Linked DNA regions of Cricetulus griseus. The protein of the gene in region 1 purifies or fractionates together with the protein of each later gene. This does not show direct contact. Links are inferred from orthologs where the notes say so. Each region holds a gene or a part of one and is shown in the gene's direction. Other genes may lie near its edges.

The links.
Region 2: the proteins of Nup153 (region 1) and importin subunit alpha-5 purify together in Homo sapiens (affinity purification with mass spectrometry; 3 studies listed by BioGRID and IntAct, with this or other methods). This does not show direct contact. The link is inferred for Cricetulus griseus from reciprocal best matches to the Homo sapiens genes NUP153 and KPNA1.
Region 3: the proteins of Nup153 (region 1) and Nup50 purify together in Homo sapiens (affinity purification with mass spectrometry; 8 studies listed by BioGRID and IntAct, counting the BioPlex papers as one, with this or other methods). This does not show direct contact. The link is inferred for Cricetulus griseus from reciprocal best matches to the Homo sapiens genes NUP153 and NUP50.
Region 4: the proteins of Nup153 (region 1) and Tnpo1 purify together in Homo sapiens (co-immunoprecipitation; 3 studies listed by BioGRID and IntAct, with this or other methods). This does not show direct contact. The link is inferred for Cricetulus griseus from reciprocal best matches to the Homo sapiens genes NUP153 and TNPO1.
Region 5: the proteins of Nup153 (region 1) and Kpna2 purify together in Homo sapiens (co-immunoprecipitation; 4 studies listed by BioGRID and IntAct, counting the BioPlex papers as one, with this or other methods). This does not show direct contact. The link is inferred for Cricetulus griseus from reciprocal best matches to the Homo sapiens genes NUP153 and KPNA2.
Region 6: the proteins of Nup153 (region 1) and Nup133 purify together in Homo sapiens (co-immunoprecipitation; 3 studies listed by BioGRID and IntAct, with this or other methods). This does not show direct contact. The link is inferred for Cricetulus griseus from reciprocal best matches to the Homo sapiens genes NUP153 and NUP133.

Annotation. Positions count from the first base shown.
Region 1 is NC_048596.1:266,384,583-266,389,673, reverse strand, and holds part of Nup153 (nuclear pore complex protein Nup153), read left to right. Parts: intron 1-195; coding exon 196-387; intron 388-3,148; coding exon 3,149-4,027; intron 4,028-5,091. UniProt on the Homo sapiens protein: Component of the nuclear pore complex (NPC), a complex required for the trafficking across the nuclear envelope. Functions as a scaffolding element in the nuclear phase of the NPC essential for normal nucleocytoplasmic transport of proteins and mRNAs.
Region 2 is NC_048597.1:53,690,152-53,695,798, reverse strand, and holds the start of importin subunit alpha-5, read left to right. Parts: upstream 1-1,906; 5' UTR 1,907-2,064; intron 2,065-5,647. UniProt on the Homo sapiens protein: Functions in nuclear protein import as an adapter protein for nuclear receptor KPNB1. Binds specifically and directly to substrates containing either a simple or bipartite NLS motif.
Region 3 is NC_048595.1:381,781,407-381,786,057, forward strand, and holds part of Nup50 (nuclear pore complex protein Nup50), read left to right. Parts: intron 1-303; coding exon 304-391; intron 392-2,077; coding exon 2,078-2,196; intron 2,197-3,473; coding exon 3,474-3,676; 3' UTR 3,677-4,651. UniProt on the Homo sapiens protein: Component of the nuclear pore complex that has a direct role in nuclear protein import. Actively displaces NLSs from importin-alpha, and facilitates disassembly of the importin-alpha:beta-cargo complex and importin recycling.
Region 4 is NC_048595.1:317,694,694-317,700,337, reverse strand, and holds the start of Tnpo1 (transportin-1), read left to right. Parts: upstream 1-2,217; 5' UTR 2,218-2,352; coding exon 2,353-2,367; intron 2,368-5,644. UniProt on the Homo sapiens protein: Functions in nuclear protein import as nuclear transport receptor. Serves as receptor for nuclear localization signals (NLS) in cargo substrates.
Region 5 is NC_048600.1:119,947,776-119,953,535, reverse strand, and holds the start of Kpna2 (importin subunit alpha-1), read left to right. Parts: upstream 1-2,403; 5' UTR 2,404-2,543; intron 2,544-4,021; 5' UTR 4,022-4,044; coding exon 4,045-4,119; intron 4,120-4,480; coding exon 4,481-4,618; intron 4,619-5,760.
Region 6 is NC_048596.1:200,580,688-200,584,447, reverse strand, and holds the end of Nup133 (nuclear pore complex protein Nup133), read left to right. Parts: intron 1-1,594; coding exon 1,595-1,731; 3' UTR 1,732-2,424; downstream 2,425-3,760. UniProt on the Homo sapiens protein: Involved in poly(A)+ RNA transport. Involved in nephrogenesis.

The DNA of each region.
Region 1 (5,091 bases):
CTGGGAATAGTTCAAACTTGAATTTAGGAATAACCTCACTACTGAACAAGGTTAAAAGCAAGATGTTCATTTGCAATGTTAAACGAAATCTGAGAAGTCTGTCCTATTTATAAACAATTAAAGGCTTCCTTTCTGTTTTTATGTGTTTGGGTGGGGATAAAGTAACATGTTCATCAGTTTCCCCATTGCTTTTAGGTTCAGTATCTGCCTCAAGCAGCAGCCCTGTGTCTGCCTCTCCGTCTTCTGGAGGCTGTCTAGGATTGGATAAGTTCAAAAAACCCGAGGGAAGCTGGGACTGTGAAGTGTGTCTAGTGCAAAATAAACCAGACTCTACCAAGTGCATAGCATGTGAAAGTGGAAAGCCAGGCACAAAGTCAGAGTTTAAAGGTAAGGTGTTGGTGAAGAAATCCTCTAATGCCTGGTTAAAAGTGAAGTGTGTATGCGGGGGCAGATTTGTTTGTTTGTTTGAGACAGGATTTCTTGGTGTAACAATCCTGGCTGTCCTGGGTCTCACTTTGTAGACCAGGCTGGCCTTGAACTCACTGAGATCCGCCTGCCTCTGCCTCCCCAAGTGCTGGGATTAAAGGCATGTGCCACCACCTCCCAGGCCTATTTGTTTTTGTAAGGTACCTATCCACTGAGTAATTATGTAAAATGAGACATGGTCCTTGTTTTTTTGTTGTTGTTGTTATTTATGGATGACACCAACATTAGTTGCATATCAGCGTCTTATGCCATCTGTGTATCTGGGTAAAGAACTTTGTGTTACCCAGTTTCCAGATTTGGGTATGAACTTACACCCTTAGGACTTTACTGTAAGTCATTTAGCCTCTGAGTATGTCTGGGTAACAGAGAACTCTAAGCAGACATGGTGACATAACCATGTACTCCAGCATTTGCATCATCCAAAAGCCCTGCCTTACTCAGTGGACAGTGTATGTTATTTTACATACCCTGTCTCTGGTATTCTGACACCAAGTGTCAGCTGTGGTCCTTTCCTTTTCCTGGGATATGAATTCATAATTGTTTCTCTTGTTCATGGCTGATACCTTTCCCATTGATTTCGTTACTGCACATGCCCAGTAGTCACATTCCAAAGCCACTGGGCCACTTGAGTGCATCAGCTTCGCTGTTGAGTAACCTAGCAGTGAGACTTGGAGCGCTTCCTGCAGATGACTGACTGTTGAGTATTTACATGGACCATGGTCATATCCAAAGGAAAAATGCTTTTATATTTATTGATTATTTTATTGAACTATATGTAAAATGGGTATCAATAAATGTATTTACTCCCAAAACAAAACCTAGCCTTCTTTTTGGTTTTTCGAGACAGGGTTTCTCTGTGGCTTTGGAGGCTGTCCTGGAACTAGCTCTTGTAGACCAGGCTGGTCTCGAACTCAATAGAGATCCGCCTGCCTCTGCCTCCCGAGTGCTGGGATTAAAGGCGTGTACTACCAACGCCCGGCTAAGCCTAGCCTTCTTAGTACATGAAAGTACAGGAAGAACTTCACATGGTCATTGAATATATGAAGGCTGGCGTTTCATTTGCGGTACTTCCATGTAGATTTTATAGTCAAAGCTGTACAAAGCTTAGGAAAGAAGACATATTTTAGAAATTTTAGACCTGAATATCAGGGAATTTCTGAACAGAGTTAGCCTCCAAAATGGGAATACAGAGGGATTTCTTTCTCTCTCTCTTTCTTTCTTTCTTTCTTTCTTTCTTTCTTTCTTTCTTTCTTTCTTTCTTTCTTTCTTTCTTTCTTTCTTTAAGATTTTATTTATTTATTATGTATACAACATTCTGTCTCCACATATACCTGCACACCAGAAGAGGGCACAAGAACTCATTATGGATGGTTGTGAGCCACCATGTGGTTTCTGGGAATTGAACTCAGGACCTCTGGAAGAGTAGCCAGTGCTCTTAACTTCTGAGCTGTTTCTCCAGCCCCTACAGAGGGATTTCTATATGCTAGGCTTTATTTTAAAATTTACCAGAGTCTTATGTTGCTTTCAAACATTGCAAATCAAAAGTCAAAGTTTTGATCCATAACACCCACTTTATGTTCGTCTGCATGATTGGTTTGGCTGTTCTTTCATTTCCAGGCGAGTAATGTGTGGCTTATCTGTTTTGCGTCTAATTAGTAGTCCTTGTTTGGAGTCAGTCAAGTACTTCATGCTCAATTTCTGCTGCAAGAGAAAAGCTCCAAGGAAATAGATTTTGGTCTTAATCACTGTAATGATGTTTATCTTTATAAATATGGCTTCATTTCATATCTTTTTAATGCTAAATATTTTTAAATGCTTTTGTCAACAACATAATCAAAATATTTAAAAATTGAGATCAAGGGTCTCCTGTTTCTACTGGCTCTCTTTTCAATTTTTTTGTCTCTCTACAAAGGTAAGAGGCACGGCTAGTTTATCACTATACCTTCCAAAAGTGCTTTACACCTGTCCTAAGCAAACACATTGCCATTCTAGACCCTCCCTCCCTTCCTCCCTCCCTTCCTCCCTTCCTTTGTTTCTAGACAGAGTTTCTTTGTGTAGCTTTGGAGCCTGTCCTGGAACTCACTTAGTAGACCAGGCTGGCCTCGAACTCACAGAGATTGACCTGCTAATGCCTCCTGAGTGCTGGGATTAAAGGCGTGCACCACCACTTCCCGACTCTTCCTTGTTTCTTGTCAGAAATTATCACCCACCTTTTCTGTTTGCCTCAGTTTTTACAAAGGATATAAGTAAAGGATAAAAGGTTTTTATCCTTTTGGCATGTTTTTGACTTTTAATCCTTCATTGATAACTGCCTGGATCTCATAGCATTTTGTGTGTCTGAATTTATCATAAGACAAATCCCAGCTATAAAATTGCTGAGGCTCAGAGGATATATGATTTAGGTTTTTGTGGGTTCTTTTTTTTTTTTTTTTGTAATCATTGATAGAACTATATATATCTCAATACTTTGGATGCTGCTGTAGCCCTAGCTACAGGATAGGGAAGTGCCTACTTCTCCCAAGTATACACGCCTATCATCTTTCTTGACCTTCCAGTCTTACAGTTGGAAGTGGCATATAGGCCTTTTCAGGGGTTGTATTTGTTAGGGTAAGCACATTAATTTGGTGTTTTTTTTTTGTCTGTGTGTTTTCTATCTTTGAAGGCTTTGGGACATCTTCATCTTTAAATCCAGCACCCTCAACCTTCAAATTTGGTATTCCATCGTCCTCCTCTGGACTTTCTCAGACTTTTGCAAGCACTGGAAATTTTAAATTTGGAGATCAGGGAGGATTCAAGTTAGGAGCTTCATCTGACTCTGGGTCTACAAACACCATGAATACAAACTTTAAATTTTCTAAACCAACTGCAGGTTTTAAATTTGGAGTGTCTTCTGATTCTAAACCTGAAGAAATTAAAAATGACAGCAAGAATGATAATTTTAAGTTTGGACTTTATTCTGGCTTAAGCAACCCAGCTTCTTCAGCTCCATTTCAGTTTGGGGTATCTACTCTTGGGCAGCAAGAAAAGAAAGAGGAGCTCCCTAGGTCGTCATATGTAGGCTTTAGCTTTGGTGCAGGTGTTAGCAACCCCACCACGGCTGCTACTGATACCACAGTGACCTTGGAGAACAAGAGTGGCTTCAACTTTGGAACTATAGAAACTAAGAGTGTCTCAGTGACTCCTTTCACATATAAGACAACAGAAGCAAAGAAAGATGATTCTTCTGCCACCAAAGGTGGATTCACATTTGGTAAAGTGGAGTCTGCCTCTTTGCCATCTGCCTCAGTGTTTGCTTTGGGAAGGACAGAGGAGAAACAGCAAGAACCTGTTACTTCTACTTCTCTGGTTTTTGGAAAGAAAGCCGACAATGAGGAGTCAAAGTCTCAACCAGTGTTTTCCTTTGGAAATTCAGAGCAAACCAAAGATGAGAGTTCTTCCAAGCCGACATTCAGTTTCAGTGTGGCAAAACCATCTGTGAAAGAGTCTGATCAGTTAGCCAAGGCCACTTTTTCGTTTGGGAATCAAACCAATACTACAACTGGTAAGTACTTAATGGCTTTATTTATTTATTGTTTATAAGTTGTATTTGATACCTTGACAATACAGGAAGTCAACAAATGACTGTCAGAAAATAATGGAGAATATTGGTTTTTGAAATCTTGAGGAGGGCTGGAAAGATGGCTCAGAGGTTAAGAGCATGTCTGCTCTTCCAGAGGTCCTGAGTTCAACTCCCAGCAACCACATGGTGGCTCACAACCATCTCTAGTGAGATCTGGTGCCCTCTTCTGGCTTGCAGGCATACATGCAGACACAGTACTGTATACAAAATAAATAAATCTTTAAAAAAAGTCTTGAGGAAAGAGCTCATGCTTTTCTGTTTTAATTGAACCAAATACCCATGGTTGGAATGGGATACCTACAGATCTAATTTTGAGAAATACAGCTGTAATTGAATGTGCAGAATGGGGCACATTATATATGTCTTAATGTCATTTGGACACCTTATAGTTGATGCATGCTGTCAGGGAAAAATCTTATGTTGAATTTTAGTTTACAAACAATTACCGATAATGAGTGAAAGTGAGGAACATAGAGAGTAAATATAGTTTAACTCTAAGAAATCAGGTAATTTGGGGAACTAGAAGGGGATACAAAAGCCCATTAAAAAGCTAAAGAAGGAAAAAAACTAGAGAAGGTTGTTGAAGTAAAGCCTTTTGCTTATGGAATAGTAGAAAGAGCATCATCTAGCTCATTATTGTAATGGGGTTTCCCAGAGCAGTGTTAAGGATGGACAGCTGCATCTGTAAGTGACTTTGAAATTGAATGATATAGGGAAACACTAAAACATTGACATAATGGTTCCTGTGTATAAAATAAGACACTGAGACTGGAGAGAAGGGCTCGGTAGCCATGCATGCTGTTCTTTAAAGATGATACAAGTTTGGTTCCCTGTGCTCATTTCAGGTGGCTCAAAACCACCAGTAGTACACACCACACACAGAGTTAAAATTTAAGATAGACATTGACCTTAAAAATGGAAGTTGGCCATTAATCAGTGGTAAAAGGAACACTCTCCAAGGCTTGTGCAAAACCCGGGGTTTTATC
Region 2 (5,647 bases), on another chromosome or scaffold:
GGTTGAACTCGAACTCACTGAGATCCATCTGCCTCTACCTCCTGAGTGCTGGGTTAAAGACATGCACCATTACACCTGGCTTCAACCTGCTTTCTTTCTTTCTTTTTTTGTTTTTGTTTTTTGTTTTTGTTTTTTGAGACAGGGTTTCTCTGTGTAGCTTTGGAGCCTATCCTGGCACTCAATATGGAGACCAGGCTGGCCTCAAACTCACAGAGATCTGCCTGTCCCTGCCTCCCGAGTGCTGGGATTAAAGGCGTGATTAAAGGTGTGCGCCACCAATGTCCGGCCTTCAACCTGCTTTCTTATAGAACCCAGGACCACCATGCCAGGGATGGCACTGCCCCCATGAGCTAGGCTCTCCCCCATCAATCACAAATTAAGAAAATGCCTTATAGCTGGATCTTTTGGAGGTTCAATTTTACTCAATTGAGGTTCGCTCCTTTCAGATGACTCTAGCTTGTGTCAAGCTGACATAAAAGTAGACAGCACATTGGCCCTAAGTCTCTCTGACAGAGCACTTTCTTTTTCCAGCTGCCTTGCTCAAACTTAGTTCTGATTGTAATAAATAAACACGATGATGCAGAAGGGAGTCAAGTTTGAGGGAAGGATGGAGGGAGGGAGGGAGTTGTTCTAGTTTGCTTTCTATTGCTGTGATTGCACACTAACCAAAGCAACTTGGAGGCAGGCATTCCAGCTTACATCTCTAAGAGGAGCCAGGGCAGGAATTCAAAGCAGGATCCTGGAGGCAGTAACTGAAACAGACCATGGAGGAAATGTGGTTACTCTATCATTCTCAGCTTACTATCTTATACAGCCCAAGGGTGGCACTGTCCACAGTGGGCTGGGCACATCATGAGTTAGGAAAATGCCTCACAGACATGCCCACAGGCCAATCTGATGGGAACCAGTCTCCCATTCAGGGTCCCTCTTACCAGGTGACTCTAGTTTGTGTTAAGGTTATTAAAACCGCCACTGGAGCCAAGACAAACGACCATTGCTTTACCTAGGATTCAGTCAGTGTGGTCCTTTGTCTCCCTCTTTCTTACATTTATAAGGGTGTTGACGCCGTCTGTTGCTCTTCAGTATTCCTTTTAAACAGACTCGTTAAACCATGTCCTGTGTGTGAAATTCTTCAGTGACCTCTGCTTGGCTTGCTTAAGGTGTTCTTTTGAAGCCACAACCCTACTCTCCAGAAAGAAAAACAATCATTTTCCTAAACATTTTGTTTGAGAGAACTTACTCAGATCAATGCCAATGTTTTTACTAAAAATTAACATCATCGAGCCAAGGTGTTCCTACGTAGTAGTCATGCCGGTCTAGAACTTGCCATTCTCCTGCCTCAGCCGTCCCAGTGCTGAGTGGTGTGCTAACGATCCAGGCTCAAAAATTATTTTGTTAATGTTTTATGGGACTAATAAATTACTAGGCAAAATGGGAGAGAGCCGAAGAGAATACCCAGAAGGTTCCCACAAACGAGTGGCGTGTGAATTCTTTGAACGTGAGGCACTGACGTATTTCGCGATACTCCCTCAGCCTCCAACCATGCCATCGTTCATCCAATAAGCGCGCTCGGTGTGTGAGGCACCTACCATGTGAGAGGGTGGCTATGGAGATGTGAGGTGTGTGGGGAGGGCGGTATCCGTCCATTCTAGAAGAGCTTAGTAAGGACACGTTTGTCTCCATAACTTGTACGTGTCTTTACTTTTCCGGACTGCAAACCTCGTTCTCAGAGACCCACGCCCTGGCCGCGTCCACTCGGGAAAGAACGCTTCAGAGACTCCGCTTCCCGGCAGCCCCTGCGGCGGGCGGCGGAAAGGCGCACGCAGGCGCGCAGGCCGGCCCCCGCACGCAGGCGCACTGCGCACGCCGGCTGAGCTGGGTCTCGCGGCTCGGTGCGCGGCGGCGGCGCGGCGGCGGCGCGGGCGGCGGCGAGAGCGAGGCCTGGTGAGCGCCGCCGTGGTGCGCGCCGGCCGGTCAAGGTTGTGCGCGGAAGAGGCGCAGCGGGCCGACAAGAAGCGAGCGTCTCACCCTCACGGCGGCACCGGGACCGGTCGCCTGGAGCCGGTGAGTGGGGGGCTTCCCCGCGGCCCCTCCCCCTCGGCGGGCGGCTCTGGTTCCCTCCGGGGACCCGAGGGAGGCCCCGGGGCGAAGGCGGACGCGGGCGCCGGCCGGGAGCTGTCGCTGTCGCGCCGGGGACCGGACCTTCGCGTCGCTCCGGTGCGTCACGGGACTGGCGGTTCTAACGGCCCGCGCGGCGGCGGCGGCGGCGGAGGAGCGGGGTGGGGGTGGGGAACGCCGGTCGGGGCGGGGCGGCGGTGGAAGCGGCGTCGGGGACTGCGGGGCGCCGGGCGGCGGCGCGGAGTCTGCGCGCCGCGCTAGGCTGAGGGCGGGGGCGGAGGCGGGTGTCGCGGGGTGCGGTGGCCGAGGCCCAGGCGTGCGGGGCCGTTCCGGGAGTTGGCAGGTTACCGCCCGGGCCGGTGTTTGGAGGGAGGCGGTGGGGGTGGAGACGGGAGGCTGCAGTTTACAGATGTCATAACTACGCGGGCCTGGAGCTGCTGACGGGGGTGTGGTAATTATAGCAATGACAACTTGGTCGTCTGTGTGAGCGGTGATGCGAGGGAAACCGCCAAGCGTTAGCTGAAGCTCGCAGTGGGAGCAGAAAACTGGAGGGCGACTGAAGTCAGGGATGTCGGCAAGAAAGAAGGAGAGGGTTGAATGCGTGCGATCCTCTTGGCAATGAAAAGTTTCAAATGAATTGATTTTCTTTTTAAGGCTTAAACTTCGGTTTGGTAAACTAGTATCAGAATCAACAACGGAGAAATGCTTTTGAAATTCTGTGTGAAACACTAACATCTATCCTTTTTTTTTCCCCTTAAAACAGTTCCTTCAAATCCCACCTCCCTGTCACTCTCCCCCCCCCCCTTTTTTTTTTTTTTTTTTGAGGATGGGTTTTGCTTGGTAGGCTGTCTTTGTGCTTGTCCTGGCTTCTTGGGTGCCAGGATTTCCATCACCCTAGATGATATTCCCACGTTCTTGTTGCTTTGTTGCCTTTTCTTTGTTTTTGAGACAAGGCTCACTATGTAGTCATGGCTGGACTAGCACTGGATACATTGCCCATGGTTGTCTTGAATTCAGAACTGTCTTCCCTCAGCCTCTCAAGTGCTGGGGTTTTAGGAACAACAGCATGCCTGATTGACTCATACAAATTCTGAGACAGGGTCCCTTTACATATTCCTCCTAGAACTCACATGTAGACCAGGCTGTCTTTGAACTTAGAGATCCACCTGCCCCTGACTCGTGAAATTCTGGAATTAAAGACATGTACTGTCACGCCTCCATTGTTTTTTTTTTTTTAATGTTTTAACTTTTTTTTTTTAAAGAATTATTTATTATACAGTGTTCTGCCTACATGTATGCCTGCAGGTCAGAGAGGGCACTAGATCTCATTGCAGATGATTGTGAGCCACCATGTGGTTGCTGGGAATTGAACTCAGGACTTCTGGAAGAGCAGGCGGTGCTCTTATCCTCTGAACCATCTCTCCAGCCCTCACACCTCCGTTTTAAAGTTTACAAGGTCTAAATTTTGAAAGGAAACTGAGAGTGATTTGTCTGTAATTTTGGTGAAATAACTTATTTTTTGTTACCTTTTTATGTAATGTTTTTGGATGGGTGATTTAAAATAAGATGGAGGTCTGAGAGGAAGTAAAATAAAACAAATTTACAGTAACTTTGAACTAGATGTTAACTTTTCCTAGTATAGATGAAAGCATGGAAGAGCACAGTATTTTCAGAATAGCTTGTTTCTTAAACATATTTTGCTTATTTTTTATGAATGTGAGTGTTTTGCCTGAATATATGTAATGCATCATGATCGTGCCTGGTGCTTACAGAGGGCAGAGAGGGATTTAGATCCTTTGAAACTGAACTTGCAAAGGGTTTGAGCTGCACTACGGGTGCTGGGAACCAAACATGGGTCTTCTTCAAAAGCAGCAAGTGCTCTTAACTGCTGAACCATCTCTCTCATTCAGAAATCACTGGAAGAAGATGGCATAGCTCTTGAAATCTTAGTCGTAGGGAATCAAATTGTTACTCATTGACTATAAAGAGTAAGAGCTAGGGCCGGGCGTTGGTGGCGCAGGCCTTTAATCCCAGCACTTGGGAGGCAGAGGCAGGCAGACCTCTGTGAGTTCGAGGCCAGCCTGCTCTCCAGAGCGAGTGCCAGGAGAGGCTCCAAAGCTACACAGAGAAACCCTGTCTCAAACAACAACAACAACAAAAAAAAAACAAAAACAAACAAACAAAAAAAAGTAAGAGCTAGTAGCTTGTGCCAATAATACTAGCATAGCAAAGCCTAGTATGGGGCAGGAGTGTAGCATGCCAGAGGCCTGGAGTTGACCGCACACACAATTTTACAAAGAGCCTGACAAAATCAACCCTGAAAAACCTCCAGTAAAGTAATGAGAATAAAGATATTACTTGAAATCAAATATTTGGATTATGCTTTTTTTCTTTCTTTTTGAGACAGGGTCTCTCTGTAGACTCAGCACCCTTAGAACTTTGTAGAGAAGTTGGACTCAAAGTCACAGATACCCACCTGCCTTTGCCTTGAAAGTTCTGGGAATAAAAATGTGTCTCACTATGCCAGGCTATTATGCACATTTTATTTTATTTTCTTGGGGCCAGGGATCCATTTCCTAGACTTACACATACTGGGTTTGTGCTCTGCTATGGGACTATGTCCCCAGTCCTTGTATTATGTGTTTTTTCTTGCATTATGTATTTTTTGGTGGTTGTCATGTAATGTTATATACCTTGACTTTTATCTAGAATTGACATATGCCAAAGGGAACTAAAAAAAAAAAAAAGTAAAAACACCCCTGCAAAAACAACAACAAAAACCTTTGTTGCTTGTGGTAGCCTTTTAATTTTACTAATTTTTATGTGTGTGGGGTATATATATTGGGATTGCAAGCACATGATTTTTCAGCTTCCTTGAGAAAGGGTCTCATTGAAGCTGTTTTTGCTTGTTAGCTAGACTAGCTGGCTGGCAGTTGAGCTCCGGAGATCTGCATATCTGCTCCTAAAGCTGGGTTTACAGCCATGTGCATCCATGTCCCTATTTTTTTATTTGGGTGCTGGGCAGTGAAACTCATACCCTCATCCTCACCCAGTAAGAGCGCTCACCCACTGAGCAATCTCCCCAGCCCTGGCTTTTTTGTTAAAGATTTATTTATTTATTATGTATATAGTATTCTGCCTGCATGTATGCCTGCAGGCCAGAAAAGGGCACTAGATCTCATTACAGATGGTTGTGAGCCATCATGTGGTTGCTGGAAATTGAATTCAGGACCTCTGGAAGAACAGCTAGTGTTCTTAACCACTGAGCTATCTCTCCTCTGTGCCCCCCCCCACTTTTTCTTTAAAAAAACTTTTTATTATGTGTATATGTGAGTGTATGCTTCATGTGTGGGGTTGCCTGTGAGGAGGCCAGAAGAGAGTGTTTTGGATCCCATGGAGTTGGAATGACATACAGGCAGGGGTCAGCTGCCCAACATAGTTGCTGGGAACCTAATTTGGGTCCTTTGGAAAAACAGCAAACTTACAGGTACTGAGCTATCCTTTCATCCCTAGGTTTTTTTTTTTAATT
Region 3 (4,651 bases), on another chromosome or scaffold:
AGGTGCTTCCCTCTAGGCCTAACGACCTGAGTTTGATTCCAGGAAGCCATATGGTAGAAAGAAAGAGCCAAATTCCACAAGTTGCCCTCTGACCTCCACACGGTACACATATGTGCACACACACACATGTACATACACACTAGATAATTTTAAAATTTCACAAAATAAAATCCAGCTGGCACCTCTTCCCCTAAAACAGCAAGGTGTCCACAGTCATATTTACCAGCTTCTGTGGGGTATTCCTGGGTGATGTTCAGGGTGGTGAGGAGCAGGCTTCTGCTAACTTAGCTGTTTCTGTGACAGGTGGCGGCGATGAAGAAGAAGAGAATGATGAGCCACCCAAGGTGGTAGTTACTGAAGTGAAGGAGGAGGATGCTTTCTACTCCAAAAAGTGAGTGGGCCTGTGGGAGTTGCAGGGGAAAGTGTCCCACAGATCTGGCTCCAGTCAACTGAGCTGCAACATGGAAGGATGATTGGCCTATTTGGTTATTTTTGTTTTTTTTCTAGACAAGAGTTTCTGTGTAGTCCTGGCTGTTGTGAAACTTACTTTGTAGACCAGGCTGGCCTCTGCCTCCCCAGTGCTGGCATTAAAGGCATGTGCCACCATCACCCAGCTTGGCCTGTTTATTTTTAAAACAAGCCAATTCTAAAGATGTGCTGGGCACATCCTAGCTCCTCTGTAAAGCGAGCTGCTTCTCTCCCCGTGAAGTGCTTTAGAAACATACTTCATGACCTTCTTCTCGCTCTCCTTTTTTCTCCTTCTCTCACAAAAAAAAAAAAAAAAAAAAAAAATCACCTTCTGCTGTAAACATGGAGGTGGCTGTGGTCCCTAGGATGGGGTGGGCCTTTCTGTGGCTGGGCAACCACAGCCAAAAAGTTAGGCACAGCTGTTCCTTCCTGTTAAGGATGTATGAACCTGCCTCTCCTCTGCTGGTCTGAGCTGCCTCTCTGTGAACAAGGCTGGAAGGGAAATTTAAATTCTGTTAGGAATTAATTGTACTGAGATATTTACTGGGAAGCATTTATCCTGAAAACGAAGCTTCCGGTAATGTTTTTATAACAGACATTAGAGTCTTTCCTATGTTGCAGATGCCATGGGCCATGGAGTTCTTGTTTTATTTCAAGAACTTTTTGGGCAGTAACAATTTTAATTTTAATAATACAAGTGACACATAGGGAAGATCCTGACTTTCCAGTTTTGTTTTGTTGTGTGGGCTTCTTCATTGGAGCAAGTCAAATGAGCAAGCTTGTTTTTTTTTGTTTTTCGAGACAGGGTTTCTCTGTGTAGCTCTGGGACTCCCTCTGTAGACCAAGCTGGCCTTGAACTCATAGAGATCCACCTGCATCTTCCTCCTAGTGCTGGGATTAAAGGTGTTCACCACTACAGTCCAGCTTAATTTTGTGGTTTTTGTTGTTTGTGTTTGTTTTGAGTTGGGGTTTAATTGTGCAGCTCTGGCTGACTTTGAATTCAAGACCCACCTGCCCCCACCCCTGGAGTGCTAGCTGTATTTTAGGGGCTTCTGTTAACATATAGGCTTGGAAAACAGTGCCCTACTTTATCCAGAGTCACACCTTATTCCAGATTTATCTCAATATCTTAGGGGATCAAAAATGTAAGGCCTAAAGAGAATTTGAAAAAAATTATTAGGGGAAAAGCTGGGTGAGGGAGATGCAAGACTGCTTGGTCTGTGCCTGTCCTTAAAGGGCCAGTCTGTTTTGCTACTCAGGACCAGGGCACCTGAGAGGGCAGCAAGAAGTGGGTCACCTGAGAGGAAAGATGGTCTCAGGTGTTAAAGGGTTTGTAAGGGACTGTGATTGTTCCTCACTAGCAAAGTTTGCCTCAGTGCCCACAATCCTGGATTCCATGTCCAGCACTACAAAGAAAGGCATGGGGGGTGGGGTTAGATTCTAGAATATCTAACTAGATTATCCTACTCTGGTTTTTGAACCCAGGTAGATACCATCAATCTGGTAAAGATTTATTATCCTCTTACCCACCCACTGCAGTTGATTCACAGAAGATGGTCAGCAAACATTCTTGTTGAGTGTCTGATCGTGTCTGTTGTTTTTCCCACAGGTGTAAACTATTTTACAAGAAAGACAATGAATTTAAAGAGAAGGGTGTGGGGACCCTACATTTAAAACCCACAGCCAATCAGAAGACTCAGCTCTTGGTGCGGGCAGACACCAACCTAGGTGGGTACAGAGCCATCACGGTTCATACAGAGAGCTTTGTCTTGACCCTGCAGTTCTTTGGATTTTGAAGCTCAATAATAGGGGTTTGTTTTGTCTTATAGTGATCATGAGGTCAAATTTATATTCTGGTTACTAATATGGATGTGATTTGAGTATCAAGAACATTGTGTACACAGTGTAGGTGTATTGTTAAAAGCTATAGTGGAGCCGGGCGTTGGTGGTGCACGCCTTTGATCCCAGCATTCAGGAGGCAGAGGTAGGCGGATCTCTGTGAGTTCGAGGCCAGCCTGGTCTCCAGAGGGAATGCCAGGATAGGCTCCAAAGCTGCACAAAAAAGTACCGCAAAGGGTTTCTTTCCGTATGTTGGAATGTGGCAGAAGAGCAGCGTGCATGTGGGATGGTTTGGTGAGCAGAGTTTAAGGGGGTCTTTGTGGGAGGGGAGTTGGTACATGGAGGCCCAAGGTTATTAGGTCTCATTCTTTAGCTGATCTCTACCTTATTTTTGGAATAGGATCTCACTAAACCTGAAGCTATTGATCAGCTTGGCTGGCTGGCCAGCCAGCAAGTCAGGGATCCACTTGTTTGTGCCACAGCCCTCACTCCTACATCCCACCCCACCCCTTCTTTAAGGTGGGGTTACAGGAATGTACTGCTGTCCCTAATTTTTTACATGGGTTCTGAAGATTTGAATTCAGGTCCTTGTGTTACATGCTTAGCAATGGGGCCATCTCCAGCCCTAGAGAACATTTGTTTATAGAACAAGAATACCACGCTGCTGTCCCCTCTGCCCCACTCCAGCCAACCCTTGCAATAGTCCATTAAAAGAATAGCTCTGACAGCAGTGGGCCTGTGATGTGTGGTCAGTAGTGGAAGACTGCCAGGCATCACTGCAAGACTTCTAGGGTTCTCTTTCCTATGACTTGACTTTGACAGTGTCACTCTAATGTCACTCTTGCCTAGGGGGAAGTCTGGTGAGAAAAACTGTCCTTTGCTGACCCCTTAAGTCCCAAGAAATGGTAAAGGTCAGGGTTAGCCAGTAACAATCTGAACAAGGCTCCGCCTTGGAGACTTCGGGGTGTGTACATCTCCCTTAGTGCCTGCCAACCCCTGGCTCCTCTCCAGCATAAAGAAAGCCTTTGTGGCTATAACCTTTAACACACTGAGAGTTGCTTTAATGTTGACTCTTTAGCCTCTTAAAGAATTCTACAGTTTTGATATTTATTTTATATATTTTTATGTGTTGTTTTGATAATTAATTTTCCTTTGTTTACTCAAAGGCAACATACTGCTGAATGTTCTGATTCCACCCAATATGCCGTGCACCCGAACAGGGAAAAACAATGTCCTCATCGTCTGTGTCCCCAATCCCCCACTGGATGAAAAGCAGCCCACAGTCCCGGCCACCATGCTGATTCGGGTGAAGACGGGTGAGGATGCAGATGAGTTACACAAGATTTTACTGCAGAAAAAGGATGCCTGAGCACTGAGGCTGACCAAGGAATGTTGCCACATTGCTGCTTCCCCTCTGCACCCTAAACTTAGTCACATTCTTTCCTCTTCTTATTGTGACATTCTGAGAACTTTTAGGTAATGGGAACTTCTATGAGGAAGATTAAGGCCAATAAAACCTCTGGGTGTATCAGCTCTTCTCCTTCCTGAGGACTAAACAAATACATTGAAGTCAAAATTTGGGAAGATTTTTTAATGTTGATTCATTGAGTAAACTAACCTAAGTGATTCTTAATGGACTGCAATCAGGGTACCAGTTAGCTCTCCAAGGCTCCTTCAGGCAGTGTGGGCTCCGCCTTCCTGCCTGCCTCGGGAGACCCCATGGCAGTGTCCCACGGCACCCCAGAAGACACCCATTTGCTCCCCTCCTGTGGGCTTGTCTGACCCATGACTAGCACTCCTGCCAAACACCATGCCACCACACTGTGACTGCACTGAATTGTTTGTGTTGGGTGTCTCTGTTGGGCGTCAGCCTTTTGGCAGGTGCTGGCCTTTGACCTGGGGCTGCTTGACTGATCCAAAAACTGCCTTTTCATGAAAAGGACATGAGTGGTTCGTGGGGGAGCTGGCGATGTAGACTGGGTTTGTCATTTTTATCCAGGAGGTGCTCTTATTTTACCCTCTCAGTTAATGTGGAAGGGGCTGTCAGGAAGAATGGACTTTAGAAGCACAAATTTGGTAGCTTTTTTATATCATTTCTATACCACAAACAAGCCTTTATTTTAAGATAAAAGTGAAGCCGTGCTGAAAAGGGATGTGTGCTCATGGCCGTTGCTGCCCTGGTGAGCCCTACGGGCACAGCCTGAATGGAGTCCTCAGGAACCATGCATTCATGAGAAGCAAGAGTGTGGGAGTGGGAAGCCGACAGTTTGGTCTGTAGCTTCAGACAGCAGCATGTTACTTGGCATCTGAAAAACTCATTTTTATTTTTATTTTTTTAAGGATG
Region 4 (5,644 bases), on another chromosome or scaffold:
TATTTAATTAATTTTTTGGTTTGGTTTGGTTTCTAGAGACAGGGTTTCTCTGTGTAGCTTGGAGGCTGTCCTGGAACTAGCTCTTGTAGACCAGGCTGGTCTTGAACTCACAGAGATCTGCCTGTCTCAGCCTCCCAAGTGCTGGGATTAAAGGTGTTGGCCACCACGCCTGGCTACCCAGAACCACTTTACAGTAATGTTTTTAATTCAATGCTATGAAAGAATAGATTCTTGATTTATCTCATGTCAATCTTATAACATCTGATAACCAAATATTTTTTAAGATTTTGAGGGAATAAATCTTCTTACATATATGAATGAATAATCAATCCCTCCTCCCTTCCAATTAATTTCATTTATTCCCAAAGTATTATCTAGGTGAATCCATGTTAATTGCTTGGTAGGTTTTTTTTTATTTTATTTTACTAAGAAAAAAAATGTATCATTTCAAGCAAAATTAGAATTCTTTCGAATTCTCTGTACGCACTTACAAGCTTGGTAGGTTTTATAACTGTCATTAATTGCTAATCTTTCTGATTAGTTTTAGATTTATTTATGTGTATGAGTGTTTTGCTGACATGTATGTCTGTGCACTATGTGTATGCCTGGTGTCTGAGGAGGTCAGAAGAGGGCATTGGATCCCCTGGAACTGGAGTTATGAAGTTATGATCTACCATGTGAGTTCAGGAATAGAATGCAGTTCCTCTGGAAAAAACAAGGGTTCTTAACCCACTGAATCGTCTCCAGCCCCTAATCTTTTAGATTTAAACACAATTTATTTTATTTTTTAAACTCCAGGGATGTAAAATTCAATTACCACAATCTTATACAAGTCCCTATTCTACAATGCAATCTTTTAAGTACAAAAATAAGACTTGTTTGCATTTTCCCTGCAGTAAATTTCCTTGGAGACACCAAACAGCTCTGGAGAAAGGTTTTCATTACATTGTTTTTCTTAGGAACATATTTCCTCTTAGAAACCTCCTTCCAACGTCTAAGTTAACTTTATAAGATGTTGATATGCATATTTTAGTTACTTGATTTTTTTTTTAGACTAGGTTTCTCTGTGTAGTCCTGGCTGTCCTGGAACTCTCTCTGAAGACCAGACTGTCCTGGAACTCAGTAATCAGCCTGCTTCTGTTTCCAGAGTGCTGGGATTATAGGTATGCACCACCACACCCAGCCATGTTTTAGTTATTTTAAATATTTCCTCTTCTATGTTCATCTTTCTGATAATAAAATCATCTTTTAGTCTAAAAGTTTGAGTTAAACTAATTGTAATGAGTATTACAATAGAAGATTCCTAAGTTTCTTAATAAATAAGCCATCTTAATAAATATTTAACATTTTCTAAAATTAGGTACTATAACTTTATGTATAAAGTGATGAAGAGCAAACATTGCCTAAACAGAAAGTATGTGACACTAAGGCAGTTAAAAATGCTAGTGTACGGATAATTCTCACTGACAACTCACCTTAGGAAATAAGGAGCACCTTGCTATGCTCCTTATTTACAATATTCATACAGAGTAAATTTGTGTAAAAATAATCAGGCAGGGAAGGAGAACAATCCGTATCCCTTCGTTACTATCATGACAATTGGGTTTTAAAATGTCTACCTCTCCCATTTTAAAAACATTTTCACTTTGAAATTACAGTACTTTTCTCATGGTTGCTGTATAAATCGAGAAGAGCTAATTATTTTCAAGCTCAGACTAGTTTTATATTAGATACATACCTAGAGAATTAATTTAATTTTCTAAATAGTTTCATTTGGTTTATACAGTGCTAGATCAGCACATCTCAGAAGCCCGTCTGGTACCAAGCGGGTAGCGGTCCGCCCACATCCATCTGCCTAGTACTGGGGAAGCTGTCACTGTTCGACTGTGGCATAGGAGGCGTTTGGTGTCGCAGAGGCTCCCGGGGCTCGGCTGCCACTCGGGGGCTGTAGCGGGGAGACACGAGTGTGGCCCGGGCACGTCACCTCCTGGAAGGGCCCTGCATCTAGGCGTTCACCCTCTCGGGCTGGGCCTGCGGGGTCGCGGCGGGCGCGAGGGCGTGTGAGGCGGGCGCGGGGCCGAGGCCGCGACCCCGGGGTCCTCTCGGGAAACCGCTGCCGGGCGCCGCCCGACGCAGGCCCTCAGGCCCGCGGGCCCAGGTCGCGGTTTTCCCAGCCCCGCCGCCGTTGCCAAGGCGACCGCCGCCGAAGATTCCCGCGCCGGGCTCCGCCCCCCGGCCAATCGGACCGGCGCTCGCCCGAGCCCAGATTCTCTTTGTTCCGCAGCCATTTCAGGCCCCGGACGGGAGGCAGCGCCGCTTCGGCAGAAGGCCCGAGCGCCGGAGGCCTCTGGGATGGTGTGGGACCGGGTAGGTGGCGTGAGGGTGCGTGGCCGGGGCGGAGGGGCGGAAGCGGCCGAGCGAGCTCCGACCCGCCGCCGTGCCGAGGCGACGGAGCTCGGCTGCCCGCTCTCCTGGACCCGGCCCGGCCGTTTGGAGCCCGCCGGCGACGGCGCGGTTCTAAGCCCAACAGCTGCCGCCCCGGGCGCCCTGCGGGACCCGGACGAGGCGGGTGGCGCCCCCGGGGAGGCGGGAGGGCGGCTGCCGGGGCGGGCTGGTGCGGTGCCTGTCAGGCCGCATCGTGCGAGGGCCCGAGGTCGCCGGTCTTTGTCCCGGAGCTCACACACCTCGGTTTCTGCAGCCGTCTCCCCCGAGGGCCTGCTGGCCTGGCGACGTGTTTACATCGTTTTAATGTTTGTAACTACGGGTTTTGCTTCGGTTTGTGGGGTTTGCACGTCTGTCCCTGCCCTGTCCGTACACGCCACGGGGAACGGCCGCCGAGGCACAGACCCGCCACCACAATCAAACTGGTTTTAGAAAGGCTTTCTTCCTCTTAGAAATGATCTCGCGTTGTTTAATTTTTTAATCACGTGGGTTTTGCAGGGATTGTTTACAGTTTCACTTTGGTATGCCAATCGCAAATCAGCAGCGGTAACTGTAGAAACGAAGTTGGAGGTTCTCCACTAATTGGGAAGGTTGTATGAAGCCGCTTAGTTTGTCCTGCTGTAAAACAGTAATGGCTTCAGTGAGTACGTAAGCAGTGCTCCCCCTCCACCCCCCGGGAAAAAAAAAGATGCTTAAGTGCCAAGTGTTTGGTGAAATCAGTGTTTGGAACCGACTTGTCTGGAATATGCCCTTTCAGACGTATTCATCATTAGGATCCCAAAAGTACCTGCTGGATTTTAAGTCTCCTTATCGAATTTTTTCATTTAAGAGTGATAAGAAAGTGTACTTGATGAAGTAGGAGGATTTGGGCTTTGGGGAGAGGTTATGGTTTCTACCCCCTACCCTGCGTCCCAGTTGCTCTAGAGAATGGCTGTCCTGGGTGAAAACTTGGAACTGCAAAGGGAAAATACTAGTTTAGAGGTTCGGATTTCTTTTAAAATCCTTGACACTTGGGTGTGGGTGAATAGTGGTTTGGCAACACTGTTTTCACTTGAGTCAATATAAGCCTGTTGGGTATGAGTGTTTCATTTTCCTTTTCTGAAAAGGGCCCTCCACCTTCCATTAGCTTTCATGTGCTTCCATCACCTCCCCAGTCAGGATACTGAATTCCTCCCATTGAAAGACTTATAACAAATATTTTTTGTACGTCTTCCTCCATTCCTAGAAGCCTTTTCATTACATAATATAAACAGAATAGATTTGGGGGCAGGGTAAAAAATATTATCCTAGCTGTGAGTATTTCATTATCTATATTTGTTATAGTCATTGTTTTCATGACTGATTTTTCCTTATTTATATAATGTTAAAGTGATTGTGTGCATTCAGTTTTCTTAAAAATTGAATAAATTACGTTGAAATGTGAACAAAGTATATTTAAAGGAATTTCTTGTATTTGCTAACCATATTGGGTTTTGCAAGCATTTTTTTAGGAAAAGAAGTCAGGTTATAAGGGAAGCGAAATCAAGTTACACATGAAGTAAATTTAACCAGTATAAACAGAAAAGAGGAGTGCAGAGCAATGGGGATTGCTTTTCTTTGCCAGATATAAAGAATGTGGTACACAGGGCTATGGTGTACACCTTTAATCCCAGCACTCAGAAGGCAGAGGCAGGTGGATCTCCCAGTTCTAGGTCAGCCTGGTCTACAGAGCCAGATCAGGACAGCCAGGGCTACACCAGGGCTACACCTGTCTCAAAAGGCTCATCCCTCCTCCCTCTCCCACCCTTTCCCATACTGTCTTACTTGCAAAGGTTGAGAAAGCTGAACTAGAATATGAATAACTAATGAGGTTTTCAAAATCATGGAGAACAATGCCCTTTCGAAAAAGGGAGGGTTGGAGTGAGTGAAATTTCTCACAAGATGAGGGCCAACTTGCCTAGTGTTAGCCAGGGTCTGGCAGGTCAGAGAGGGGGTGAATTCACAGTAGGACAGATGGTTGTGAGAGAGGGTGGTTTGTGATGAAGTAGGTAGAGGTTAGAGAAGACAGGTTTGAAAAGTGCATTTGATTGTGTGGTTCTGAGATGTCCAGGGAGTGTTCTTGGAAGTACTGTCAGGTGGTATAATAAGTAAGAATGTTAGCTTTTAAATGTCTCAATGATCAAATGAAATATTGAAACAGGAAATGCAGATGGAGTTTTGTCTTGGAATTTCTTTGTTTTTGTTTGTTTGTTTGTTTGTTTGTCTTTTGAGAAAAGGTCTCACTCACTCTGTAGACCAGGCTGGTCTCAGACCCACAGAGATCCACCTGCCTCAACTCCCAACTCCTACCCCCAGTCCTGGGATTCAAAGCATGCTCTACCACATGTGTCTGCCTTCAGATTTTTCTGAAATAGATCCCAGAATGGTGGCCACATCTTATTTCCAAAAGACAGTCAGTGACAGTGGAACTATTTGAACTCAGAGGAAACTGGTTGCTGTTGCTGTGAAGACCATACAGTTGGAATCAATGGGTGCCTTTCTAATGGTTGACTTCATGAAGTAAGATAGAGCTATCCTGTGTGGGGTGGACATCAGGAAAAGACACTTTAAGGCCCTTTGTAATTCTCAGTGTAACTTGAAGCAAGTTACAATGTCTCTGTTTTTTGTCTGATTATGTTCAGAGAACTAAGTGAGTTAGTACAATAAGCTCTCATAACCTGGCCTACATGTAGTGAGTACTTCACGGATCACTACTGTTCTTGTCGTTGTCATTTTGATTATTTTGGCAAACTAAGAAATAAACATAAAACCAATCTCAAGACTGTATAACCCTCTCAATAAGCCCTTTGTGTATTTCCTTTCAATATGGGTTTTTGTTTTCCTACAGTTGAAGTTTTATTACATAAGGAATTTTCTGCTTTTTAGAAAAAACCTGGTATAAATGTTTTGTTAAACTATTTAGTTTTTTTTGTCTGCTTTTTTAAATGACTATGTAATGTCTGTGTGAATTTCTCCTAAGTGAAGAATTTCTAATTTCTTGTAGTTATATAAGAAACACTGCAATGAACATCTTTGTACATAAAACAATTACTGCAGCTTTGATGTTTCATTATGATACTGGGTATCCTCTCAAGTTGTGGATCCATATTGCCAAGCTGCTTTTGCTTAAGGCAAGTTTTTTCATGGTAGTGTTTTGAGACAAGGTCCATCTGTGTAGCCCTGT
Region 5 (5,760 bases), on another chromosome or scaffold:
AACATTTCTCTCCAAGTTCCTTATTCAGAGTTTAAGACTCAGAAGTTGTTCCTACCTCCAACTACTAAACAAAGGACATAGGCGCCCCAAAAGGGTGCATTTAGGTCGTGTGCCTGCCCCTGAACCATTCACAGCAGCCAAGAAAATGCCTGGCGGTGATTGGTTGAGAATGGATTCCTTCCACATTCTTGCATTTAGCAGGTCAGATTGGGAGCAACAAACTGCCTGTGAACTTCTCGGCTATGCTAGAGAGAAACTGGCATGGATGCCTTCGAGAATAGACAGAGTGTACTGCTTGCATTTATTTGTACAAAATAAGCCACTACAATTTTCCTAAAATACTCCTTTAAAGCACCCAGAAAAATTTCAAGAAGAACACAAAAAATGGCTCACAATCCTGATGCTTTTAAATATCTTTCATGTTTGAAAATAATTAGACCACAAAAAATGAATACAGATTGATGATAGCATGGAAATTGAATTTTTCCTGAAATTGAGGGTTTCCAGTGTGGTTATATAAAACAATCTCTCTTTTAAGAAAAAAAAATTGTTTTTATTTACTTTTATTTATTGGTGTTTTGCTTGCATGTATGTCTGTGTGAGGGTGTTGGATCCCCTGGAATTGGAGAACTGGAATTATAGACAGTTGTGAGCTGCCATCTGGGTGCTGGAAATTGATCCTGGGTCCTCTGAAAGAGCAGGCAATGCTCTTATCTCTGAGCCATCTCTTTTCTGCCCCCATCCGAATCCCTGAAAAGTATTTCTCTTTGTAGTCCTGGCTATCCTGGAACTCACTATGTAGATCAAGCTGGTCTCGAACTCACAGAGATCCACCTGCCTCTGCCTTCTGAGTGCTGGGATTAAAGGCGGTGTACACTTGTATTATTGAAGTTTTGCCTGGTGGTGGTTTCACACACCTTTGGGGGAATCTTTGTGAGTTGGAGGCCAGTGTGGTCTACAAAGTGAGTTCCAGGGCAGCCAGGGTTACACAGAGAAACCTCGTCTAAAATAAATAAATAGAGAAACCCTGTCTCAACCCCCCCCCAAAATAATATAAAATAAATAAATAAAATTCCAAAACAACAAACCAAACAGAATTAATGAAGTTTTAAAGAAAGTGTAAGGTGAAAATAGGCACTTAATAAGCCATTTGTTACCATATTTGCTGCTTTGTCTTTTTATTTCCCAAGTAATCTGAACATTTGACATACAACTAGATAAAGTGGAACATCTCTGTAATCCCAGAATTGGTGCTGAGGTAAGATTGCAACAGGTTCAAGGCTAGCCCCGGCTCTATTGTTGAGACCCTGTCTCACTCCTAGTCCCCGTAATAAAAATTAAATAATCGCTGGGCATTGGTGGCACACGCCTTTAATCCCAGCACTCGGGAGGAAGAGACAGGTGGATCTCTGTGAGTTTGAGGTCAGACTGCTCTACAGGCAGATCTCTGTGAGTTCAAAGCCAGCCTGGTCTACAAGAGCAAGTTACAGGACAGACTCCAAAGCCACAGAGAAACCGTGTCTCGAAAAACCAAAATAAATAAACAAATAAATAAATAATCAATAAACAGTAAAAACAACAACATAATAATAGGGGGCTAGAGAGATTGCTCAGAGGTTAAGAGCACCAACTACTCTTCCAGAGGTCCTGAGTTCAATTCCCAGCAACCATATGGTGGCTCACAACCATCCATTATGAGATCTGGTGCCCTCTTCTTGTGTGCAGGATCATATGCAGACATAAAGCTGTATACATAATAATAAATCTTAAAAAAACAACATAATAATTAATACACTACACACAATGATTATTAAAAGAGCCACACAGATCTGCTTCACTCCTTTCTCCCAGTGACCAGCCCCTGCTAAACCTCTGGTGTTTCGATGAGGAAAAAAAATGAAAATCAATGTATTTATGTTAAGCATTTGTTATTATTTTGGTGGGTCCTTTTTCAGACGGGGTCTCACCATGTAACCCTGGCTGGCCTCACTATGTAGACAAGCTCGCCTTGAACTCACAGCAATCCTCCTGCCTCTGCCTACGCCAATTACGCCAGGCTAAACTTTTATTTTTTAAGATAACGCGTCTAATAATAATTCCGTGTATTTGCTTAAGGGCAGGCCCCAGAGAGAGCAAACAGGGCTCTGCCCAGCGTCCCGCCTAGGCAGAGACGACACACACCCTTCAGCGTCGCGCGCCGAGCTCCGGGATCACCACTCTTGCAAGGCACTCTGGGATTGTCCGGCCGCTCCCTCATCTCGCGATGCTACCCTCCCCTCCACCCCACCCCCACCTCCTCCCTCCCCCAGGCCCGGCGTCCGTGCCCCCCCCAACGTGTTTTTCAAATCCGCCAATGAACGCACAGCTTAGGCTCAAACCAGCCAATCGGGATGCGGCGTCACCGGGAAATTTAAATCGCGCCGGCCGGCAGCACGAGGCACAAAGTCTGAGGGCTGAGGCGCAGTGGACGTTTCGAGGGCCGCCGACCCCGCAGGCTGAGAGCCCCGCACCGCCTTTCGTGGACGCCTGAGCCGGCTGAGCAGGTGGGAGCCGCGGCCGGGCCTGGACGGTAACGGCCGGCCGGAACGCGGAGCGGGCGGGAAGGCGGGAGCAGGCCGCGCCGGGCGTGTGCTGGGCCTCCGTGCCCAGACGAGGCCGCGGGGCGGGGTGGTTCCGCCGTGCCGGTGCCGGTGCCAGGCCTGGCCGCACCGGTCGCTGCGGAGGGCGGCGCAGGCCCCGCGAGGGGCGGCGTCGGGGACACCGGCCGCAGACGAGCGCACCCGGCTGCCTCTCCGCCGCTTTCCCGCCGCTTCTGCCCGGGGAGGGTCGGGGCTGTGGGCTGGAGCGGAGGCGGAGGCGGAGTGGTGGCAGTTAGGACTCCCCCGTGAGACGCTTGAGCCGGGCCGCCGGCGCCAGCCTCGGGGAGGAAGTTCCCGAGGTTTTCGCCTCGGTAGCAGATTGTCACATTGTGGCGATCACGCCTGCGATAGAAAGTCGAGCCCCAGACAGTGTCCACGGCTGGTGTCACTCGAATTGAATGCACAGACCGGAAAGCCTGTCCTGTCCAGGGCGTGCGGGACGCTGAAGACGCGGTGCCAATGTCACTGCTGACAGCGAGGGTTGTGGAAGGCTCTGTAACGCAACCAGCCAAGTCGCTGTGTAACCTGATGGAAGGTGCCTGATGTATGTGTATGCATTCGGGCCATGAATCAACAGAAAAAGACCAGAAGTGCCTTTATTGCCTTAAGGAGGTAGATTGTTAACTAAAAACCAGGCGGGGTGCCCCTAGTCGGTGTCCAGAATGTGGAGCCCCGGCTTAATACCGCGCTGGCCAGAGGCTTTAGGTCATTGAGTTTGTGAAAAGCCGATAATCTGAGTTGAGATGCTCTGCGTGCATAAACTACACATAGGATTCTGAAGGTGTATTAAAACGGTGAAACATGTTTATTTTTCTATGTTAATTTCATTTGTTGCTTTTTAGCCTTTTAAAAATGTGGTTAGTGGAAAATTTAAATGTTTGATTAAAAACCTGTTTCTGATTGACAGCTGCGTTGCCAGAAGTTTAATCCCTTTGCAGGAGGAGCACTTAACCACTGGACTTAATGCTGTAGCCATAAAACTGAAAGCTTGTGGGTTTTTCTTGTCTAGCATACAGATGGAGTCAATATATAGTTGATTTTTATTTTATTTATTTATTTGGTTTTTCGAGACAGGGTTTCTCTGTAGCTTTGCAGCCTATCTTGGCACTTGCTCTGGAGACCAGGCTGGCCTGGAACTCACAGAGATCGGCCTGTCTCTGCCGAGTGCTGGGATTAAAGGCGAGTGCTGGGATTAAAGGCGTGCGCCACCCACGCTCGGCTTTGATTTTTATATTCTAGTTGGCCTTAAACTCAAGAGACCCGCCTTCCTCTGCCTCCCTGGTGCTATGATTAAAGGCGAATGTTAGTATGCCCCGCCTGGCTTCTGCTGTATTCTTATTTAAAAAGTGCTCTTTTTTTTCTCACCCTCCCTTGTCTACTAGCTTTCTCCCGGATTCCTGTAACCATGTCCACCAACGAGAATGCTAATTCACCAGCTGCCCGGCTTAACAGATTCAAGAACAAGGGGAAAGACAGTACAGTGAGTACCTTCTGTCGACACTTTTAAATGGAAATAAGAAGGGGTGTTTATATAACACATTTTAGGGATTGAATCCAGTGCCTTACTGATGTTAGATGGGTTCTTTATTCCTGAGTTTTATCTCTAGTCTTATTTATTGTGTGTCTGTGCATACCTGGTGCAAATGCAGAGGTGAGAATGACAGCTTGCAGGCAATGGTTCCCTCCTCCGCCTGACTCTGCAGGATTGAAGTCCTGAGACTTGGTGGCAGGTGCCTTTTAGACAATGAGCCATCTCTTGCTGACCTTTGAGGGGTTTAAAGAAATGACTTGTCAGGAAAAGCTTATAGATAAAATGAGGTGTTGTGTTGTCTTTTCCTCAGGAAATGCGGCGCCGCCGAATAGAAGTTAATGTGGAACTGAGGAAAGCGAAGAAAGATGACCAGATGCTGAAAAGGAGAAATGTCAGCTCATTTCCCGACGATGCTACTTCTCCTTTGCAGGAAAACCGAAACAATCAGGTACATACCTAGACAGTGCTCTCCCTCCCTGTATAACTGCTGTGGCTGTCCTGGAACTCTGCAGAGATCTGCCTGCCTTTGCTTCCTGATTGCTGGGATTAGAGGCTTGTGCTCCCCCCAAAAAAGAATAAATGTCTCTTAGAAATTAGAATTTTTTTTTTGAGGGGGATTGGTTTCTAGACAAAATTTCTTTGTGTGGCCTTGGCTTTGTCAACCAGGCTGGCCTTGGACTCAGATCCACCAGCCTTTTTGCCTTAGGAGTACTGGGATAAAAGGCATGAGCCACCACTGCTGGCTAAATGTAAAAATTCTTGGACATGCCTGGTAATCTACTTTTGACTGTTGAATGTATGACAATTCTTTGTTTTTTTTAAGATTTTTAGTTTTTTAAGAAGTGTATTTGTGTTTGTGTCTGAGTATGTGCAGGAGGCCAGAGAGGTTATGTCCCCTAAACTGGAGTTACAGGCAGGTATAAGCCACCTAATAATGTGGGTGCTGTGGATTGCATTTGGTCCCCTGCAGGATCAATGCATAGCCCCTGGGGAAAAAGATCCGCCCCCATGTTCCCCACAGGGTTTCTGTGTAGCCTTGGCTGTGGCTGTCCTAGAACTCACTCTGTAGACCAGGCTGCCTCTGCCTCCAGAGTGCTAGGGTTAAAGGCGTGCACTACCCTAGTGATGACCTGCCAGGAGTAAGGCAATGTTGGGCACTTACTAGCTTTTTGGTTTTTCAGGATAGGGTCTTTGTGTGGCTTTGGATCCTCTCCTGGCACTCACTCTGTAGAGCAGGTTGGCCTCGAACTCACAGAGATCTGCCTGCCTCTGCTTCCCAAGTGCTGGGACTAAAGGAGCGTGCCACCACTGCCCAGCCAGTATTTTTTCCTTTCTTTTTAACATTTGATCTCTTTTACTATTCTATGTCTTAGATGTTTCTGCTTATTTTAATTTTAATCTCAAAGTAAAAAGGTAATTGTTTTTTAATTAATATATTGTTGGGTCTGAGACATCCTTTTCTTCCAAACTTGTTTTCTGAGACAGGATCTCATTATGTAGCTCTGGCTGTCCTAGAACTCATGTAGGCCAGACTGGCCTCAAATTCACAGAGATCTGCCTGCCTTTACCTCCTGATTGCTGGGGTTAAAA
Region 6 (3,760 bases), about 66 Mb from region 1:
GGCCTGTCATACAGAGAAACCCTGTCTTGGAAAATAAAAAACAAAACAAACATACAAAAAGTATGATTCTTATAGAATTACTAGATCAAAACACTGGGTGGTGGTATATACATACCTTTAATCTCAGCTCTTGGGAAGCAGATCTCTCTGAGTTCAAGGCCAGCCTGGTATACAGAGCAAGTTCCAGGACAACCATGGCTATACAGAGAAATTCTATCTTTAAAAAAACAAAAGATGGCTTAAGAGATGGCTCAGCAGTTAAGAGCACTGGCTGTTCTTCCAGAGGACCTGGGTTCAATTCCCAGCACCCACATGGCAGCTCACAGTTGTCTGTAACTCCAGTTTCAATGGTTCTGACACCTTCACACCAATGCACATAAAATAAAAATTAAGTAAATTAAAAAAAAAAATCCATTAGATCAAAACCCAGCATGCCAGGTCCAGGCAGTATGCAGCCCAACCAACCTACCTCTGGCAGATCTTTTAGATTCAGGGCTATATTTGAAGAACATACAGTGACATGTATCCTAAGTCCAGTGATCCTGCAGAGTGAATATGAATGGTATTTACTGGGATGGCATTCACATGACCCCAACATTTGCTCTGCTTATGTATGCAAGATGTATCATTTAATCTACATAAAACATACCTACCCCTACCTGGTACATAGTTGCTCAGTAGACCCTTGTTTTTTGATGGTGCAGAATTATTCAATTTATCATTATAAAAAATTCAAAAAGATGGTGCTGGATGCTTCAAGAATATTTTTACTGGACAAGTACTCCCCCCCCAGGATTATCTTCCTTAAAACCAGACAATCTGATATTCATACAACAAATTATATGATCTTATTCATTTAAAAGTTTTCGTTCCATTTTCTTGGTCAAGTGAGGTTAAATGTAATTGCTGTGGCTTCAATAGTCCATTGATTGGTGCTTCCTGGCTTTCCTGACCCCATTATCCTTCTAGTCTCTGACTCAGTTGAAATGCTGCTGTATGTGCGTTTTTATTTCTTTGGGACTGTCTTACTGTGCTGTCCAGACTGGTCTTGGGCTTTCAGGTTCAAGGGATTCCCTCCCTCAGCATCCTGAGCACTGGAAGGACAGCCATCCACATTAAACTGATACCTTTATGGTATTGTGGCCAGCTCTGTGACAGTATTTCTATTATATTATTCCCCAGTTAGGGTAACACAGAAATGACTATTAGTTGAAAACTTCTGCATTGAAAGAATGTCTTTTGATTTTTTTTTTTTCAAGACAGGGTTTCTCTGTGTAGCTTTGGAGCCTATCCTGGCACTCGCTTTGTAGACCAGGCTGGCCTTGAACTCACAGAGATCTGCCTGCCTCTGCCTTCAGAGTGCTGAGTGCTGGAATTAAGTGTAGAAAATGACAATTGCAGACTATTGCAGACCTCACCTGAAGTGGCTGCTTTGACCAGTGAGAGCCTGCAGGTGGCACTGAAGAAGCTGTTGTCAGACCTACGGCACTGTGATTAGGAGGAGGCTCCAGTATGGGGCATGTTAGTGACTGGCGCCAGCCTCTCATTCACTGGGGAATCTCTGAAATCATAAGTGACTGTGTTTTGTTTGCAGGCATCCAGCTCAGCGAATACTTGCCAGAGGTGAAGGACCTACTTCAAGCAGACCAGCTGGGAAGCCTGAAATCCAATCCTTACTTTGAGTTTGTTCTAAAAGCAAATTATGAGTATTATGTTCAGGGACAGATATGACATTTGTAGAAATTGTTGCTTCTAAAATTTTATAAATATTTGCTTATAAAAATTTTGATGCCAAAAAAGTAAGTTTTAATCAGTTTAAAAGTTTATATAATTTCATCTGTGGCAGCCAGGTATTTTTTCAATGCTTTATTTGGGAGCTATAATATAAAATGGGGCATAACCCTGATTTTCTTTCAGTTGTAAGATATTTTCTTCTCATTTTCTACTTGAAGTCACCCTTGTTTCTGTGTTTCTGCCCTTTCTCCAGTCTCCCTTGGTCCAGTGAGGCATGCAGTTTTTCTCTGGCACTGCCTCCTTGTGCATAGTATGTCTGTTTTGAGGATTGTAAGGTTGAGTCAAGTTTGGTGACATGTACCTGTAATCCCAACACTAGAGCCTGAGACAGGAAGATACTGAGTTCAAAGCCAGTCTGGACAGCATAGCAAGGTCTGGACTTGAAAACCAAAACAGATTGCCACTCCCTCCCCCTAGTTCGTTATCCAATGTCAACCTTTAAATAATATACATACAAATAATATTTTGTGGACCGAGCAGGTTGTGCTTATATATTTAGGTCAACAACTAAAAGAGGCCATGAATTTGAGTGCAGGGGAGCATGGAGGTGTTGGAGGGGGCATGGGAAAGGAAAAATAATTTAATTATATTTTAATTTCAAAAAATTAAGGAAAACAGTGTTTTTCAAGATTGCTCTAATCTGTCTTTGGAGTCACTGTGACTCTGGATTTGGTACACTAAAGATCCTCTGGGATGTTGATCTCTCTTTAGGTCAAAGCCAGAGGGACGTACCTACTTAGCAAACTGAATGTCAGATTTTATTGACTTACTATGTGACTGAGAAACAAATATAGAGGCTCTTAACTCATGAAAGGTGACAGCTGGTAACTCATGGGGAATGTTCCTCACTTTCTACATTGATTAAAACAAACAACAACAAACATGGAGATAGGGTCTTACTATGTAACTGGATGATCTGGAATTCACTATTGTAGACAGGTTAACCTCAGACTCATATCCACCTGCCTCCTAAGTCCTGGAGTTAAAGGACACCACACCTATCAATAATGGATGAATCTTAAAAGTGTTTTAGTGAGTAAGATGTTTGTGTGGCTTTCTGAGCTATCAGTAAATTGTCACTGCTACCAAATATGGTGATTACACTGGCTGTAATCTCAGTATTGAGTCAGTGAGCCTGAGTCTATGATTTCCTGATTGTTTCCAGTTTCACCATAGTTGGTCCTTTCACAAACACTGCCCATGGATGTTGTTCTGTAAACCCCAGTAAGGGGCCCTGGGGGTATAGAGGCAGAGATTTCATTTTATCCTCTTGACTGGCTGCTGTGGGAAGTGCCAGCAATCTCCAAGACAGATTCATGGCATCTCAGGCTAGCTATCATTATCCCATCTTCTTGAGTGTTTCCAGGCTAACTACGGTCCCACTACTGCCTACCCACTCCCATTCTATCCTCAGAATGATTATATATTCATGTATAAAAATTCCACATATGAGCCGGGCGGTGGTGGCGCACTCCTTTTCCTTTAATCCCAGTACTTGGGAGGCAGAGGCAGGGATCTCTGAGATCGAGACCAGCCTGGTCTACAAGAGCTAGTTTCAGGACAGCCTCCAAAGCCACAGAGAAACCCTGTCTTGAAAACCACCCTTCCCCCCACCAAAAAAAGTCCACGTATGATATAGTGACACATACCTTTAATCCTAGCACCTGGGAGGCAGAGCTAGGTAGATCTGAATTTGAGAGCAATCTAGTGTACATAGAGAGGTCCAAACCAGTTGTATAGTGAGACTCCATCTGAAGATGACAAGAACCTACATACTAAATGAAATATGTACTGAAAAGTATATATGTTGTTTTATATATATATATATATATATATATATATATATATATATATATATATATAAAAATCACATCACATTTTTTAGGATAAGTTCTCAGTATACAGCTCAGGCTGGCCTCAAACTCTCAGTCTTCCTGCCTCGGCTTCACAAGTGCTAAGACTACAA